Notamacropus eugenii: one gene and its partner. The protein of the gene in region 2 interacts with the protein of the main gene of each other region in a biochemical or structural test. Links are inferred from orthologs where the notes say so. Each region holds a gene or a part of one and is shown on either strand. Other genes may lie near its edges.

Region 1 (7,716 bases), on a different chromosome or scaffold from region 2:
CAGTTGATATGAAAAGGCTGAACATTTCAGAAAGAGACATTCAGAAAACAACATGTTTCTTTCTCCCTTTTGAGAGAGGCTGAAGGAGCAGAGGGTACTTCCAATACGTGAAGTCCAGGAGTGGAGTGAGCTTGTGGGATGAAGAAGTTTCTGCGGCATGGTAGAGAGTCCTGTGGAGAGTCTGGAGTATAACTTGGAGTGAAGTCCCTCTGGAAGATCCTGCTGCTGCTATGGCCTGCCTCCTCCCATTGATGAATTCTTCCCAGACCCTCCATTTCAAGGAAGTGCCCAGGCCAGCTGTGTTGGCTGCCTCACTCCTGGCCCTCTGGACTTGGACGCCATCTATTCCACCCTCATCTTTGGCTCCCTTCAGTTTGTTGTCTTCTCTCAAAACCAGAATGTAAGCTATGTGAAGTCAGGGAATACAGTTACCCCTTTCACTAGCACAGTGCTAGGGATCTGGAAAAGCAACATAAAATTCTGTGGCCCTCCTTTCATGCCAGAGAAGAAGTCTAAATTATTAAGGTATTAAAAGATAAAATATGTTGCCATTATATAATACTATACATATATTTTATTATTTCTGAGTTTCTAAACCTTTTCTGTCATCTGCTGCTTCCACAAAACTCCCCCCAAATTCCCATTTAATTTCTTATGCCAACCTGCAATATACTGAAATTGTGATGGGGAAAGGATAACTGTACCTCCCTTTCTTCTTGTATTTTTATTTCCAGTACTTAGCACAGTACCTGGCACATGGTAATTGCTTAATAAATGGTTGATGTTACCTTTCTAAAGTTTCTATTTCAATTCCCTCAGTGTTGCTCTTCATCAGAAATACCTGAGCATTCTCTATTCTAAAGGTGTCCAATTTGTGGCCAGTGAGCCCACAAAACTCCTGAATGACGCTGAACTGGGTTGTATTTTACTGGAAAATGTTTAACAAAATAAATAAAAACGCAATGTGGATAATGTTAATTTGTGTGACTTGGTAGGGATTGATTGGTTCCTTTCTATTTGAGCTGTTCATCACGTTTCTATTCCGTGAAAGGTCTGCTTTTCTTTCCCTGTAGTTTTTTATGCTCAGATTTGCAGGGCAAGTTATTCTCAGTTCTAAGATGCTTCTTCTGCCTTTTGGAATATTGAATTACATGATCGCTGTTCATTTTTAGTAGAAGCTGCCAGGTCTTGTATGATCCTGACTCATTCCCCAAACTTCTTCCTGGAGGCTTGTAGCAATTTTTCTTTGACATGGGGGCTCTAGGTATTGACTGGGACATTTCTGGGATTCTTCCCTTTTGGGTTCCTTTCAGGAATTAAACAGTGGATTCTTTGTATCTTTACTGACTTTGTTTTCTGGTTCTAACACGTTAGAAGTTTTCTTTTATGGTTTTTTAAAATATAATGTCCAGCACTTAATTTTTTTAAATAATGGTTTTTACATAAGACAATGCCTGACATTATCTCCCTTGACCTTTTCCAGGTCAGTTTTTTTAAAAAATCAGATATCTTATATTTTCTCTTTTTCAATCTCAATTTTTTCCCTACTATTTCTTGCTGTCTCATAAAATCCTTGCTTTGTTGGTCTATTCTCTAGTTTTCAGGGCACCCATTTCTTGAATAAGGTTTATCACTTTCCCTTCCAAGCTACTTCAATCAATAAACATTTATTAAGTACCTACTATGTGCCAGGCACAGTGCTAAGCACTGAAGATGCAAAAAGAGACAAAAGACAGTCCCTGCCCTCAAGGAATTTACAATCTAAAGGGGGAGACGACGTGCAAACAAATCTACACCAAGCAAACTATATACAGGATGAATAGGAAATAATTAACAAAGGGAAGACACTAGACTGAAGAGACGTTGGGGAAGGCTTCCTGTGGAAGACAGGCTTTTGGTAGAGGCTTAAAGGAAACCAGGGAAATCAGTGAATAACGATGAGGAGGAAGAACATTCCAGGTATGAATGACAGTCAGAGAAAATGCACAGAGCTAAGAAATGGAACCAAGGCCACTGTCCTGTCCAGGATGAAGGTATAAGACTGGAAAGGTAGGAGGAAACCAGGTTACAAAGGGCTTTGAATGTCAAACAGCATTTGGTCTTTGTTGCTGAAGGCAACAGGGAGCCCCAGGAACTTGAGTTCTAGGAGAGCAACGTGATCAGACGTAGGTTTTAGGAAAATCACTTTAGCTGATGGAGGGTGGATTGGAGTAGGGAGAGACTGGAGACAGACAGACTTCCCAGCAGCTACTGCAATAATCCACCAGAGTGGGGGCAGTGTCAGAGGGGAGAAGGGTGAGTATTATGCAGGGGTGAGACATACAAGGAATACTGCACAGGTAAAATCCACAGGCCTTGGCACCATATTGGATGTGGGGGGAGAGGGCATGAGGAGTCCAGGATGACCCCTAGATTGTGACCTTGGGGGACTGGGAAGAGAGTGGTATCCTCAACAGTAATAGGGAAGGTGGGATCTTTCCTCTAGATTACAGCTTTTATTTCACTTTCAAATCTCATTTCATTTCTTGTAAGTATTCATAGAGACCTTGTGGAATATGCATCTTTCCTCTGAGTCTGTTGGCAGTCATTATAGAATTAGGTTGGCAAATGCACTCATCTTTTTAGCTTCAATTCCTGAATTGGGGCTGTATGCCCCAGCAGCACTGGCCCAGAGGAAGCAAGGGGGATACCACAGCGGACAGAGCGTTGGTCTGGAGTCAAATCCAGCCCCAGACACTTACTAGCTGTGGGACCCCGCACAAGTCATTTAGCCTAAAGTTTACTTTAGATTCCTTAACTGTAAAATGAGGGTAACTGTAACATGTATCACCCAAGGGCTGCAAAGATTAAATGAGGTCATTGTTGCAAAAGGCTGAGAACAGTGCCTGGCACGCAGCAGGTGCCTCATAAAGGCTTGTTCCCACCTTTCTCACCATCCCTTGTACAAAACACTGCCAGCTCCATGCTTTCACTGGCTTTGTAACAGCAAGGACCCCGGCACCCACAGGAGGGCCTGCTCTACAGGTTCTCAGATCTGCTATTCTGAAAAGAGGAGTCAGCAATCTACTTTAATCAGGCACATGTATCATTCACTTAGTTCAGACGAAAGAGTCAGCCCCCTGAACTTCAGAGAAACCAAGACCAACAGACAGAGCTTCCAACTGTCTGACCGTGAGCACTAAATCACCAACATCTGGGCTTTCCAAGGGGAGGGGCTCCTCAGCAGCTGCCCAGAGTCTCACCTAGCACACCAACCTTCTCCCAAACGCTAAGCCTCACCTCAGAGCCCAGGGCAGGACCCTCAACAGAGATTAACAAAAGGGACTGAGGCCTATTAATGGGAGGGGGAGATCTTTAACTCTTCCCCCCACTCACCATTAACCTTAAATTACCGTTACAGTCTGTGGCTTCCTGTAAGACTCAGCTCCTGGAGGCTTTCCTGGGACCCCATCCACTGAATGCGCCTTCACTCTGACTGCCTCCCAGTGATACCATGTGGAGCTCACAAGTATAAAGCTGTTTTCTTGGGGTCTCCTGCATTAGAACGTGCGCTCCCTGGGGGCCGAAGCCGTGGTGCTGCCTTTCTGCATCGCTCATACCCAGCACCAGTCGAATCCACCTGCCATGCCTTTCTGGGTAGGGCAGTTGTTCTCAGGCTGGGGTCAAAGGCTCTTCTGCTGGCCTCTGCCTCCTCCCCCCAGACTCAGCTGACAGCTCCACAAGAGAGATGAAGGATCCCTAGGGCAAGGCCTCAGCCTTGCCTGGACATGGCACTGCCTTCCAGAGAGCTGCTCTCACCTTCAGCTTGTGCCCTCCCTTAGGTCATCTTCCTCAAAGCCACAACAATAATCTTCCTAAGACGTGTCTGACCACGTCACCCCCTTGTTCAGAAGCCTCTGAGAGTTCACTACTGCCTCTAAAATCACAGGCAAACTCCTCAAACTGTTATCTGAAGTCTTCCTGAATCTAACTTTCACCTACCTCTTCAACCTTGGTTCTCAGGCACCCCCCCAGCCCAGCCCCCCCCTGGTCTGAGGCCCCTCCAGTCCTGACCCGCCCTGGTCTGAGGCCCCCCCCCAGCCCAGCCCCGCCCTGGTCTGAGGCCCCCCCCCAGCCCAGCCCCCCCCTGGTCTGAGGCCCCCCCCAGCCCAGCCCCGCCCTGGTCTGAGGCCCCCCCCCTGGTCTGAGGCCCCTCCAATCCTGACCCACCCTGGTCTGAGGCCCCTCCCGGCCCTGACCCCCCCGGTCTGAGGCCCCTCCAGTCCTGACCCCCCCTGGTCTGTGGCCCCTCCCGGCCCTGACCCCCCCCCCGTTCTCAGGCCCCTCCCGGCCCTGATCCCCCTGGTCTGAGGCCCCTCCCGGTCCTGACACCCCCTGGTCTGAGGCCCCTCCCGGCCCTGACCCCCCTGGTCTGAGGCCCCTCCAGTCCTGACCCACCCTGGTCTGAGGCCCCTCCGGTCCTGACACCCCCTGTTCTCAGGCCCCTCCGGTCCTGACCCCCCCTGGTCTGAGGCCCCTCCAGTCCTGACATTCAGGGCTTATCCTTCTTCCTTCCGCATCCCACGTGCCTCGCCCGCGGGCGGAACCTTGGTCGTCTGGTCGAAGGTGTCCCCGCCCACAGTGCCCGCCGTTCCCTTCCGGGTGCGGACCGGAAGTGCCTTCGCGTAGGCCCCATCCCCTGCGTCAGGTGACGGGATCCCGCGGAGGAGGCTCCGGAGCCGCCGCAGCCGGAGCCTGACTGACGTGACGGGCGGTGGACGGAGCGAGGGAGCGCGCGCTGAGGTACCTCGGCGGTCCGTGGCCCTCGGCGCTCCGGGGCCGCTTGCACTCCCTGAGGGTGCGGGCCTGCTTTTGGATTGGGGGACGGGGAGGGAGCGGGCTGGGACCTCCTCTCAGGGTCTGGTTGCGGCTGCGCAGGCGCCGTGGCAGGGAAGGGAAGGTGGGGGTCTGACTCTTCGGGACGTAACGCGCCTTCCACCTACTACTGGGCATGCGCCATAGGAGGTTGGGGGGGCCTCGTTCGTGAACTGTCTGGGTCCGTGACACGCCCCCCATAACTTTCCAGTGCGCAGGCGCGCTGAGAAGAGAGGCGTTGACTAGAATGGCTTAACCCGAAGCTGCGCATGCGCCATAGATCAGGGGCACTGGCTGCCGTGGTGACGACGTGCCTTCTTGTACACGTTTAACTCCGCTTGCGCATGCGCCCTAACAGAGTAAGCGCTGAGAACCTCGGTTCCGGAACTCTTTTGATTCTGCTTGCGCATGCGCTGTATGAAACTTGGCCCCTTCTGAACTTGTGGCCCTCATGCCACTGCGCAGTCGCAAGGACAAGACGCCCCCTCCCCTCCTTGGGCACTGTTTCCTGCTTCCCCGGTGATGCTCGATCCCCTCCCGCAGGGCTCTCTCCTGGCCTGGTAGCCCGTGGCCGCGTCGCTGACCTCCCTGGGGGGTCTGGCTCCTGCTGCGGTCAGTGCGGACGTGACGCAGAGCTCGGCCATCAGGAGCGGGGCACCTCGGCCCCGGTCTGCCAGATGGGCATGAAGTGTTCCCGCGAGCCGGCCCTCCGGGTGCCAGGCGCTGCAGGCTGGGCCGAGGGGCAGCGCCCGCCCCTGCCCGGGTTCTCTGAGACTTAGCGCTGTGCCAGGCTCTGGGGGTGCAGAGGGAGGGGCCCCACCCCCCAGCCCGGGAGTGGCACGGGCAAAGTTCTCCGGGATCTGTGGAGGAAGGGATTGTGGAAAGGAGGAGGCACGGTCCCAGGGTTGGGCCCCTTGGCAGCAGCTTCATAGGCAGGGGAGAGGGCAGGGGCATTCCAGGAGGTCCAGCTGGCACCCAGCATGAAGGAAGGGGAGGGAGGGCTGTCAGAGTGGGAAGGTCGGGCAGAGCGCTGTGGAAGGAGGCTCTTCAAAGCCTCCCGTGCTTTGTTCACTCTTGCTTCTCCCACACACCCATCCCTGGTGCCAGCTCCCCACTAGAGAAATCTGGATCCCACGCTGTCCCCCATGCAGTCTGCCCAGAACCGAGTCTGTCTGTCCCGCTGACCAGGACTCTTGAGCTTGCCCATTTCCGGGGAAGGCACCACCATGTTTCCAGTCTCCTCAGTCTCGTCCCTGGTTTGATTCCAGTTTGGCTCTGGTGCCTTTCCCAAACCGATGCCTGGCGCCTCTTGTTGGGGTGCCCTCCTGCCACCCCAAAGTACTTTGTGCTTACTTTTTTCTGTTTCTGTATCTGCCTACTTATCTTTGTACATGTTGTTATCTTTGATCAACCATATCCTGGGAGAGCAAGGACCGTTTTGTCGTTTGTCTCTATGTCCCCTTTAAATTGAATTGTTCCTAAAGGAAATTGAGGGCAGTGAAAGCTTTTGAGTAGAGGAGTGGTATGGTCACACCTGAGCAGTGGGAAGAGTCTTTGGGAGCTGTGTGAATGATGGGCCGGGGAGGAGAGGAAGGAGCCTGGGAGACTAGAGGATTGTCATTGTATAAGGCGCCCTGACGACTCCTTATTAAGCTCTTTTTTACATGGAAGGCACTATGCTAGGCATGCGAGGTGTAAAGATTTTTTAAATGGCAGCATTTTTTACCTTAAGGGTTCTCCTCAGGGGTAACAAGCACAGAAAATGAGAAATCCTAAGGAAAGGTGACAAGTTTGACCACTGAGATTTGGTGGGAAAAGACTCACCAAGTCGGTCCAGAAGGATGTGCCTTACTCAGAAGGAATAAGAGACAAATGAGGGAGTGGAATATCGTTGTGAATTAAGAATATATGCAAAGAAATCCGGAAGCCAGAGGTGGGCAAGCCTGGGGAGAGGAACAGAGAGAGAAACAGTCTTGAAGGATGAAACATGGAGAGAGGCCAAACAGAGCGGGCTCTTTAACAAACTACCGAGACACTGAACTTGGAAATAATAATGATAGCACTAACATTTCTGTCCCCCTCACTGTGTGCCGGGCACTTTACACATGATCTCAGTTTGATCCTCACAACCACCCTGGGAAAGAGGGGCTCTTACTCTCTCCATTTTACAGACTGAGGCAAACAGGGTTAAGGGACTTGTCTAGGATCACTCAGCTAGCTGTCTCTCTTCCCATTTTAGACCCTGAATAAGGGGCAGCTAGGTGGTGCAGTGGATAGAGCACCAGTGCAGGAGTCAGGAGGACCTGAGTTCAAATCTCACCTCAGACACTTGACACTCACTAGCTGTGTGACCCTGGGCAAGTCACTTAACCCCAACTGCCTCATCCTGGGTCATCTCCAGTCATCCTGATGAATATCTGGTCACTGGATTCAGATGGCTGTGGAGGAGAAGTGAGGCTGGTGACCTGCACAGCCCTCCCTCAATCAAAACAAAGTCAAATGCAAGTCATGTCATTATTTCTCTGATGGCATGGTCTTCTTCGGCAACAAAGGACAAACACACACACAGACCCTGAATATCACAGCCCTTAATGTGTTATGTGAGGAACAGATAACAAGCTAATGGTACTAGACAGGAGCTGCACCAGATAGGCACAGAGAATATCCATCCACACAGAGGCAACGTTTTTGTGGGCATTGAAGTATCTTTCTCAGCATATCTGAAAGTTGGGAAGGATACCAAATGCTTGGGGAAAAATTAGATAATATTACTACCCCAGGAAGAATAATTGAAAAGATTATCAATTACTGATCATATGCCTACTAGTCTACATCTACAGAAATCTTCCTAAGAATAATCTA
Region 2 (7,364 bases):
ATTGATTTTGAAAATCAAGTAAGAGAAGTAGAGGAAAATTGGAAAGAAAAATGAGAGTGATGCAAGAAAAGCATGAAAAGATTGTGGTCACTCACAGACCAGAGCACAGGCCTGCTAAAGGAACCCCCTGAAAATGCTGAAGAAAATAACACCTTTAAAATTAAACTAACCCAAATGACAGAAGAGGTCCAAAGAGCTAATAAGGAGAAGAAAGCAGAAAGGGCCAAATGGAAAAAGAGGTCCAAAGGCTCACTGAAGAAAATAATTCCTTAAAAATTAGAATGGAGCAAATGGAAGCTAATGACTTTATGAGAAATCAAGAAATTATAAAACAAAGCCAAAAGAATGAAAAAATAGAAGACTGTGAAATATCTCATTGTAAAAACAAGTGACCTGGAAAATGGATCCAGGAGAGATAATTTAAAAATTATTGGATTACCTGAAAGCCATGATCAAAAAAAAGAGCCTAAATGTCATCTTTCAAGAAATTATCAAGGAAAACTTCCCTGATATTCTAGAACCAGAGGATAAAATAGAAATGAAAAGAATCCACCAATTACCTCCTGAAAGAGATCCCCAAAGGAAAACTCCTAGGAATATTGTAGCCAAATGTCAGAGTTCCCAGGTCAAGGAAAAAATATTACAAGCAGCCAGAAAGAAACAATTCAAGTATTGTGGAAACACAATCAAGATAACACAATATTTAGCAGTTTCTACACTAAGGGATCAAAGCGCTTGGAATATGATATTCTAGAGGTCAAATGAGATAGGGTTAAAACCAAGAATCACTCAGCAAAAGTAAGTATAATGCTTCAGGGGAAAAAAATGAAACTTCAGTGAAATAGAGGACATCCAAGCATTCTTGTTGAAAAGACCAGAGCTGAATAGAAAATTTGACTTTCAAATACAAGAATCAAGAGAAGCATGAAAAGGTAAACGGAAAAGAGAAATCATAAGGGACTTACTTACTACTTAACCTGCACACCCCTCCAAGAGTCTCTCCCTTATCCTCTCCCTTACCTTATCTCCTTGCCCTGTTATTTCTTTTTGAATTTAGGAGATTTTATACCCATATATATGTATATTTTTATATACATATATATATGTTGTTCCCTCTTTAACTCATTTCTGAGGAGTAATTCCTCATGAGAGTAATCCAGCACTACCTACCCTCCCCGCTACTAGCTTCTTCTGTATCAGTTTTTCCTTTTATGCCTCATTGGTATGAGATAATTACTCCTTTTTATCTCTCCCTACAATTTTTTCTAGAACCATGCCATCATACACAGCTTAGCTCAAGCCTTTCTTTCAAACTGCCCAAAAAATAATGATAGTCATAAAAGTACTGATAATATTTTCACATATTAGAAGTAAACAATTTGATCTAATTGAGCCCTTTATAATTGGTTTTTGACGTTTACCTTATATTTCTCCAGGGTGTTATATGCTGAATTTTCCTTTAAGTTTTGCTATTATTTGTCACAAATACCTGGATGTCTTTCAGTTCATTAAATGTCCATTCTTTTTCATTCAGAATTATTCTTAACTTTGCTGGGTAAGTTACCCTTGGTCACAACTCCAGCTCTTTTGTTCTATGAAATATAGTATTCCAAGACCTTCACAGTCCTTCATAATAGTAGCTGCTGGTTCTTACATAATCCCTACTGTAGTTCCATGATGTTGAAATTTTTTTTCTTGTTGCTTCCAATATTTTTTCCTTAACCTGAGAGCTTTGAAATTTGGCTATGATATTCCTGTAAGTTTTTCTTCTAGAACCTCTTTCAGGTGGTTATCGGTGATTTTTTTATTTCTACTTTGCCTTCTTCTTCTAGAATGTCAGGGCAATTTTCCTTGATAATTTCTTACAATATTGTATCAAGATTATTTTTTTATTAATTAATTTTATTTATTTACAGTGTTCTACAATAACTACCATATAACTTAGGCTATTATTTTCCCCTACCTCCCTCTTACTTCCCCCCTCCCTCCCTGAGACAGCATACAATTTTGTATAGGTTCTACACATACATTCCTATTAAATACATTTTCACTATAGTCATGCTGTGTTGAAGAATTAAAATGATTGGGAGAAATCATCTAACAAACCAAAACACAATACACACATACACACACACACACACACACACACACACACACACACACACACACACACAAATGATCTGATCTGCTCCAATCTGCAATCCATAGTTCTTTCTCTGGATGTGGAAGGCATTTTGCCTTAGAAGACCATTGGGAATTTTTTTTTTTAAGTCCTTGCATTGCAATGAAGTTCCAAATCTACCAGAAAAAACTCTCACACACTGTGGTCATTGCTGTGCACAAAGTTCTCCTGGTTCTGCTCCTTTCACTCAGCATCAGATCATATAAGTCTTTGCAGGCCTCTCTGAAGTTTTCCTGTTCATCATTTCTTATAGCACAATAGTATTCTATTATATTCATACACAATAATTTATTCATCCATTCCCCAATTGATGGGCATCCTCTTGATTTCCAGTTTTTGGCCACCACAAAGAGTGCTGTTATAAATATTTTTGTACATGTGGGACCCTTTCCCATTTTTATGATCTTTTTGGGGATACAGTCCTAGAAGTGCTATTGCTAGGTCAAAGGGTATGCATATTTTTGTAGCCCTTTGGGCATAGTTCCAAATTGCTCTTCAGAATGGTTGGATCAATTCACAGCTCCACCAGCAGCATATTAGTGTTCCAACTCTCCCACATCCTCTCCAACATTTATCATCTTCCTGTTCTGTCATGTTTGCCAATCTGATAGATGTGATGAAGATTCTTTTTTATCATAATTTTCAGGTAGTTGAACTATTCTTATATTATTTCTCTAAACCTGTTCTCCAGATTGGTTTTTTTGATGAGATGTTTCACATTCTCTTCTATTTTTTCATTCTTTTGATTTTGTTTAATTATTTCTTGGTGTCTTTGAAAGTCGTTAGCTTCCCTTTGCTCAATTCTAGTTTTCAAGGAATTATTTTCTTCTTTCAGTTTTTAATTCTTTATTTTAAGTTGGTTGATCTTATTTTTTCCTAATTTTTTCTCAATCTCTATTATTAGATTATTAAAATCTTTTTAAAGTTCTTCCAAGAACTCTTTTTTGCTTGGAACCATTTGACATTTCTCGTTGAAAAAGGAGTGACTTTTTTTTTTAGCTCCTTTATCTTCCTCTGAGTATGAACTCAGATCTTCTCTGTCCTTATAGGAGCTACTTATGGTTGTGATGAAATCCTAGCCACTGTCCCTAGCTAGCCATTGCCCCCAGACCCAATATCCTAGCTTCCTCATGAGCACATCTGTCTAGTGAGGCATATGAAGAAGTTGAGATATTGGATGTGGGGGCCAGTGGCTAGGATTCCATCAGTTGGATTTTCTCCTTTGCTTACTCATTTTTCTTTTTTTGTTTTCTTTTGCTTTTAGCAGCTATTAGTGTAATCAAGTTCTAGTCCCCAGATATGGGGAATGCCTCTGCGAACCTCCTGCTTCCCTCCTGGCAGTAATGCAAGTCTCCCTTGGAGAAAGGTGGGGGGAGAAGAGGCTAGAGATGTCTATTTTGCCTCCCTTAGAGCCACACATAAGGGCAGCCCTTGCTACAGGTGGACCTCTCTAATGTGAGGGAGGTTCTTCTTTACATTATAAAGGATGAGATGAGAAGACCATATCTTAGATCTTTTACAGAGGTGGAGGTGGGGTGAAGGATGTGTGGAACATTGCATATAACCTCAATTTTTTTCAGTGTATTGATCAGTGTTGACGATTTTTTCTTTTAAAATCTCTTATAAGGGATAACTTTCTGGGAAGGGTAAGAGGGAAGGGTATGGGGGAAATCTAGGAGATGTAAAAACAAAAAGATAACAATAAAATGTATTTTTAAAAAAAGTTATGCACTATAATCAAGATTAGACTTGGAAAAATGAATTCTCCTTCAAAGGTATGCTTAATTATACATGGTGATAAAAGTGCGATTCAGTGATGAAGAATGAAAGGAAGATTTTAATTTTGCCAATCTAAAGCCAAATTGTACAAAGCAAGTGGCTGCTGCACAAGGACAAAACGCTTAAAAGTTTTTGGGTTTTTTGAGCTGTAAAAAGTTATAAAGTTATACTTATTGTATAAGTCAATATATTAAACTATTTTCCCCCTTCCCAGTTAATTGCTAGGACAGCCGGGGATTTCCAGTTAGTCTACATTCTTGTCCTTCAGACTTCCCGCCGGTTTGATAAGTTTCATTTCCTTAGAATCCCCTCCACCACTCCCGCCTTTTCTCTAGTCAGTCCAATCCCCACTCTCCCCACCCTCACTCCTGTCTCTTCCTGGAAAGCCTTTTTCTACGAGATACCAAGGCGAGAGATCCAGAAGAGCTTGGGTGGTCCGGGATGGAGGGGACAGTGACAAGGGCTCCGGCAGCCCGGCGCAAGAGTTCAACCCGAGGTTCCCGCAAGACGCAGGCAGCACGAACCCGGGCTCCCAGCCTCTCCTCTCAGGCTGCCCCCGACGTGACGGACGCCGCCCCAGGGAAGGGTTCCTACTCCAGTGGGTCGGAATCTCTGCCAGAGAAGCAACTCCCTGTCCTCAGGGCCAACCAACCCTCTGTTCTCCCGGAGAAGGAACCCCCTGTCCTCAGGGCCAAGCAACCCCCTGTTCTCCAGGAGAAGAAACCCCCTGTCCTCCAGGAGAAGAAACCCCCTGTCCTCAGGGCCAAGCAACCCCCTGTTCTCCAGGAGAAGAAACCCCCTGTCCTCCAGGAGAAGAAACCCCCTGTCCTCAGGGCCAAACAACCCCCTGTTCTCCCGGAGAAGGAACCCCCTGTCCTCAGGGCCAAGCAACCCCCTGTTCTCCCGGAGAAGGAACCCCCTGTCCTCAGGGCCAAGCAACCCCCTGTTCTCCAGGAGAAGAAACCCCCTGTCTTCCAAGAGAAGCAACCCCCTGTCCTCCAGGAGAAGAAACCCCCTGTCCTCAGGGCCAAACAACCCCCTGTTCTCCCGGAGAAGGAACCCTCTGTCCTCCAGGAGAAGCTGCCTACCAGGGTCCCGGGGTCTCAGGCCACTAAGAAGGGGCTTCCCCACCCAAGGGACGTACATACCCTACAGGAAGGGAGACCGGTCCTCAAGAAGAATCCCGGGCCTGGAGTTCTGACGCCCCTGTCCAACGAGCCGGGAATCTTGCCCAAGGGAATGAAGGATCCTGAGGATCGGAAGAAGGGGGTCCCCCGGCAGAACTCCGTTGGCCGGAGGTTACAGCAGGTAGTGGAGAAACTGAAGCTGCGGCGTCAGGAGACATCCCAGGCCTGCGTGTTGGTGAACCAGGTCGTCGACCACCTGCAGCGGCGGCTGCCCCTCTGGGACCCGGCTTTCAGGGGCATTGAGAGGCTGGGCACCGGCAGCTACTACGAGCAGGTGAAGGTGAGTTGACTAAGGGTTTGCTCACTCCTACCTCTCCTTCGAGAATGGTAGTAGCTAGCTTCCTTATAGATCTTCAATGTTTGCAAAATGCTTTGCTTTCCGTTATCATTACTTCCGACTCTGCAGGCGCCTTGTCACCAAAACCACGATAACTCTGCGCCGTAGCTGCTCGTTTTTCTACAGGGGATCCAAGAAAGAAAGCTGGATCTGGGAATGGGAAGTTGTTCACGCCTGCTACTTAATTACCTATTGAGCAAGTCGTTTAACTTCGGTGAGCCTAGGTTTTCGCAGATGGGAAATGGTGTGTGATCTGTCTGGTTCGCTGTCCATCAGTGTGGGCTGCTGCCTCACACCGGGAGTCTCAGAAGGTGGGGATTATTTGCTAGTTTCTATTGCCAAACTTCCAAACGTTCCTGTTGTTTCTTGTGCTTCAGGTCTGTAACCGATCATGTTGCCCTTAATCCCATGATTTCACCTGCCCTGTGCTGTTCTTTGTTCTGGACTCCCCAAAACCGATAGAAAAGGAACTGTCCATTTGCTGGGGCTGGGGGGTCTTTGGCATTAATGGAGGCAAGCCCCTGACCCACTTACTATATGCTAATAAATGTTATCTTGTTCGGAGATCTTCCTCAATTTAATCTTTTATTAAAATTCAGTTGTAACATGTCCATTTTAGAGGCCTGGGGACACTGAAAGGTTAAGGTGCTTTTCTCTCAGTCACACTGGTAGTGAACCTCAGGGCAGGATTTAACACCAAGTTCTCTCCTAACTCCTGTTTTCTCCCTATATCAGAGGTTAGACCAAAATGAATCCTGAACTCACTTCCTACCCTAAACCTTATGATCTTCAGCTTTGTGAAGGGGAGGGAAAGGAAGAGGGTGGCACTTATTTCTCCTAGTCAATGATATTTTTGTTGCCAACCTACTGGGATGTAGAGTTCCCATGACCCATGTTTAGATATGGAGGATTTACTCACAAAAGAATGATGTGTTTGTCCTTTGTTGCCGAAGAAGACCATGCCATCAGAGAAATAATGACATGACTTACACTTGACTTTGTTTTGAGTGAGGGAAGGCTGTGCAGGTCACCAGCCTCACTTCTCCAGAGCCATCTGAATTCAGTGACCAGATATTCATCAGGATGATTGGAGATGACCCAGGATGAGGCAGTTGGGGTTAAGTGACTTGCCCAAGGTCACACAGCTAGTGAGTGTCAAGTGTCTGAGGTGAGATTTGAACTCAGGTCCTCCTGACTCCTGCTCTATCCACTGCACCACCTAGCTGCTCCTTGGGTCACTAGTATTATTTTTACAAATGAAGAACATGATTCCTTACTATAGTGAGGAGCAAAGAAAGAATAAACAAAGATTTATTCAGGGTTCTAGCCCATTTGATGAGCTTAATATACTTCTTTTAAAAAAATTTTTGTGGAAAATTAAACCCAGGAAAACTGATGTGGGAACAAAATCTTGTATGATAAAATTTTAATTTTAGAAATTTTGCAAATTGAATTAATAAATGAAAATTCTCAGGAAAATTCAATTTTTGACAAATCAGCAAAACATTAAAAAATACATCATACATGTCAGTGTAATTTTTTTTTTTTTGCTGTTTCATAGATTTCTGCTCCAAATGAATTTGATATCATGCTTAAACTGGAAGTTTCCAGAATTGAACTAGAAGAATATGATGACAGTGGTGCCTTTTACTTTGTGAAGTTTAAAAGAAATCCAGCAGGAAATCCTCTGATCAGTTTTTTAGATAATGGAATATTATCAGCTTCTAAGCTGCTATCTCAATTTAGGAAAATCATTAAGGCAGAAGTAAACCATATTAAAGGTAAGAAGTTAGTATTCTCTATTCTTAAAGATCTGTTTGTACAGATTATATTTTCTCTTTGTCTTTTATGATAATAGAATTACACAACACATAACATT

What was found.
Region 1: of the proteins of CGAS (region 2) and RNF185, one has a biochemical effect on the other in vitro, tested with the Homo sapiens proteins (2 studies listed by BioGRID). The link is inferred for Notamacropus eugenii from reciprocal best matches to the Homo sapiens genes CGAS and RNF185.

The regions. Positions count from the first base shown.
Region 1 is NC_092875.1:13,959,922-13,967,637, reverse strand, and holds the start of RNF185 (E3 ubiquitin-protein ligase RNF185), read left to right. Parts: upstream 1-4,692; 5' UTR 4,693-4,782; exon of another isoform or gene 4,783-4,837; intron 4,838-7,716. UniProt on the Homo sapiens protein: E3 ubiquitin-protein ligase that regulates selective mitochondrial autophagy by mediating 'Lys-63'-linked polyubiquitination of BNIP1.
Region 2 is NC_092873.1:142,982,857-142,990,220, reverse strand, and holds the start of CGAS (cyclic GMP-AMP synthase), read left to right. Parts: upstream 1-4,313; 5' UTR 4,314-4,402; coding exon 4,403-5,428; intron 5,429-7,046; coding exon 7,047-7,266; intron 7,267-7,364. UniProt on the Homo sapiens protein: Nucleotidyltransferase that catalyzes the formation of cyclic GMP-AMP (2',3'-cGAMP) from ATP and GTP and plays a key role in innate immunity.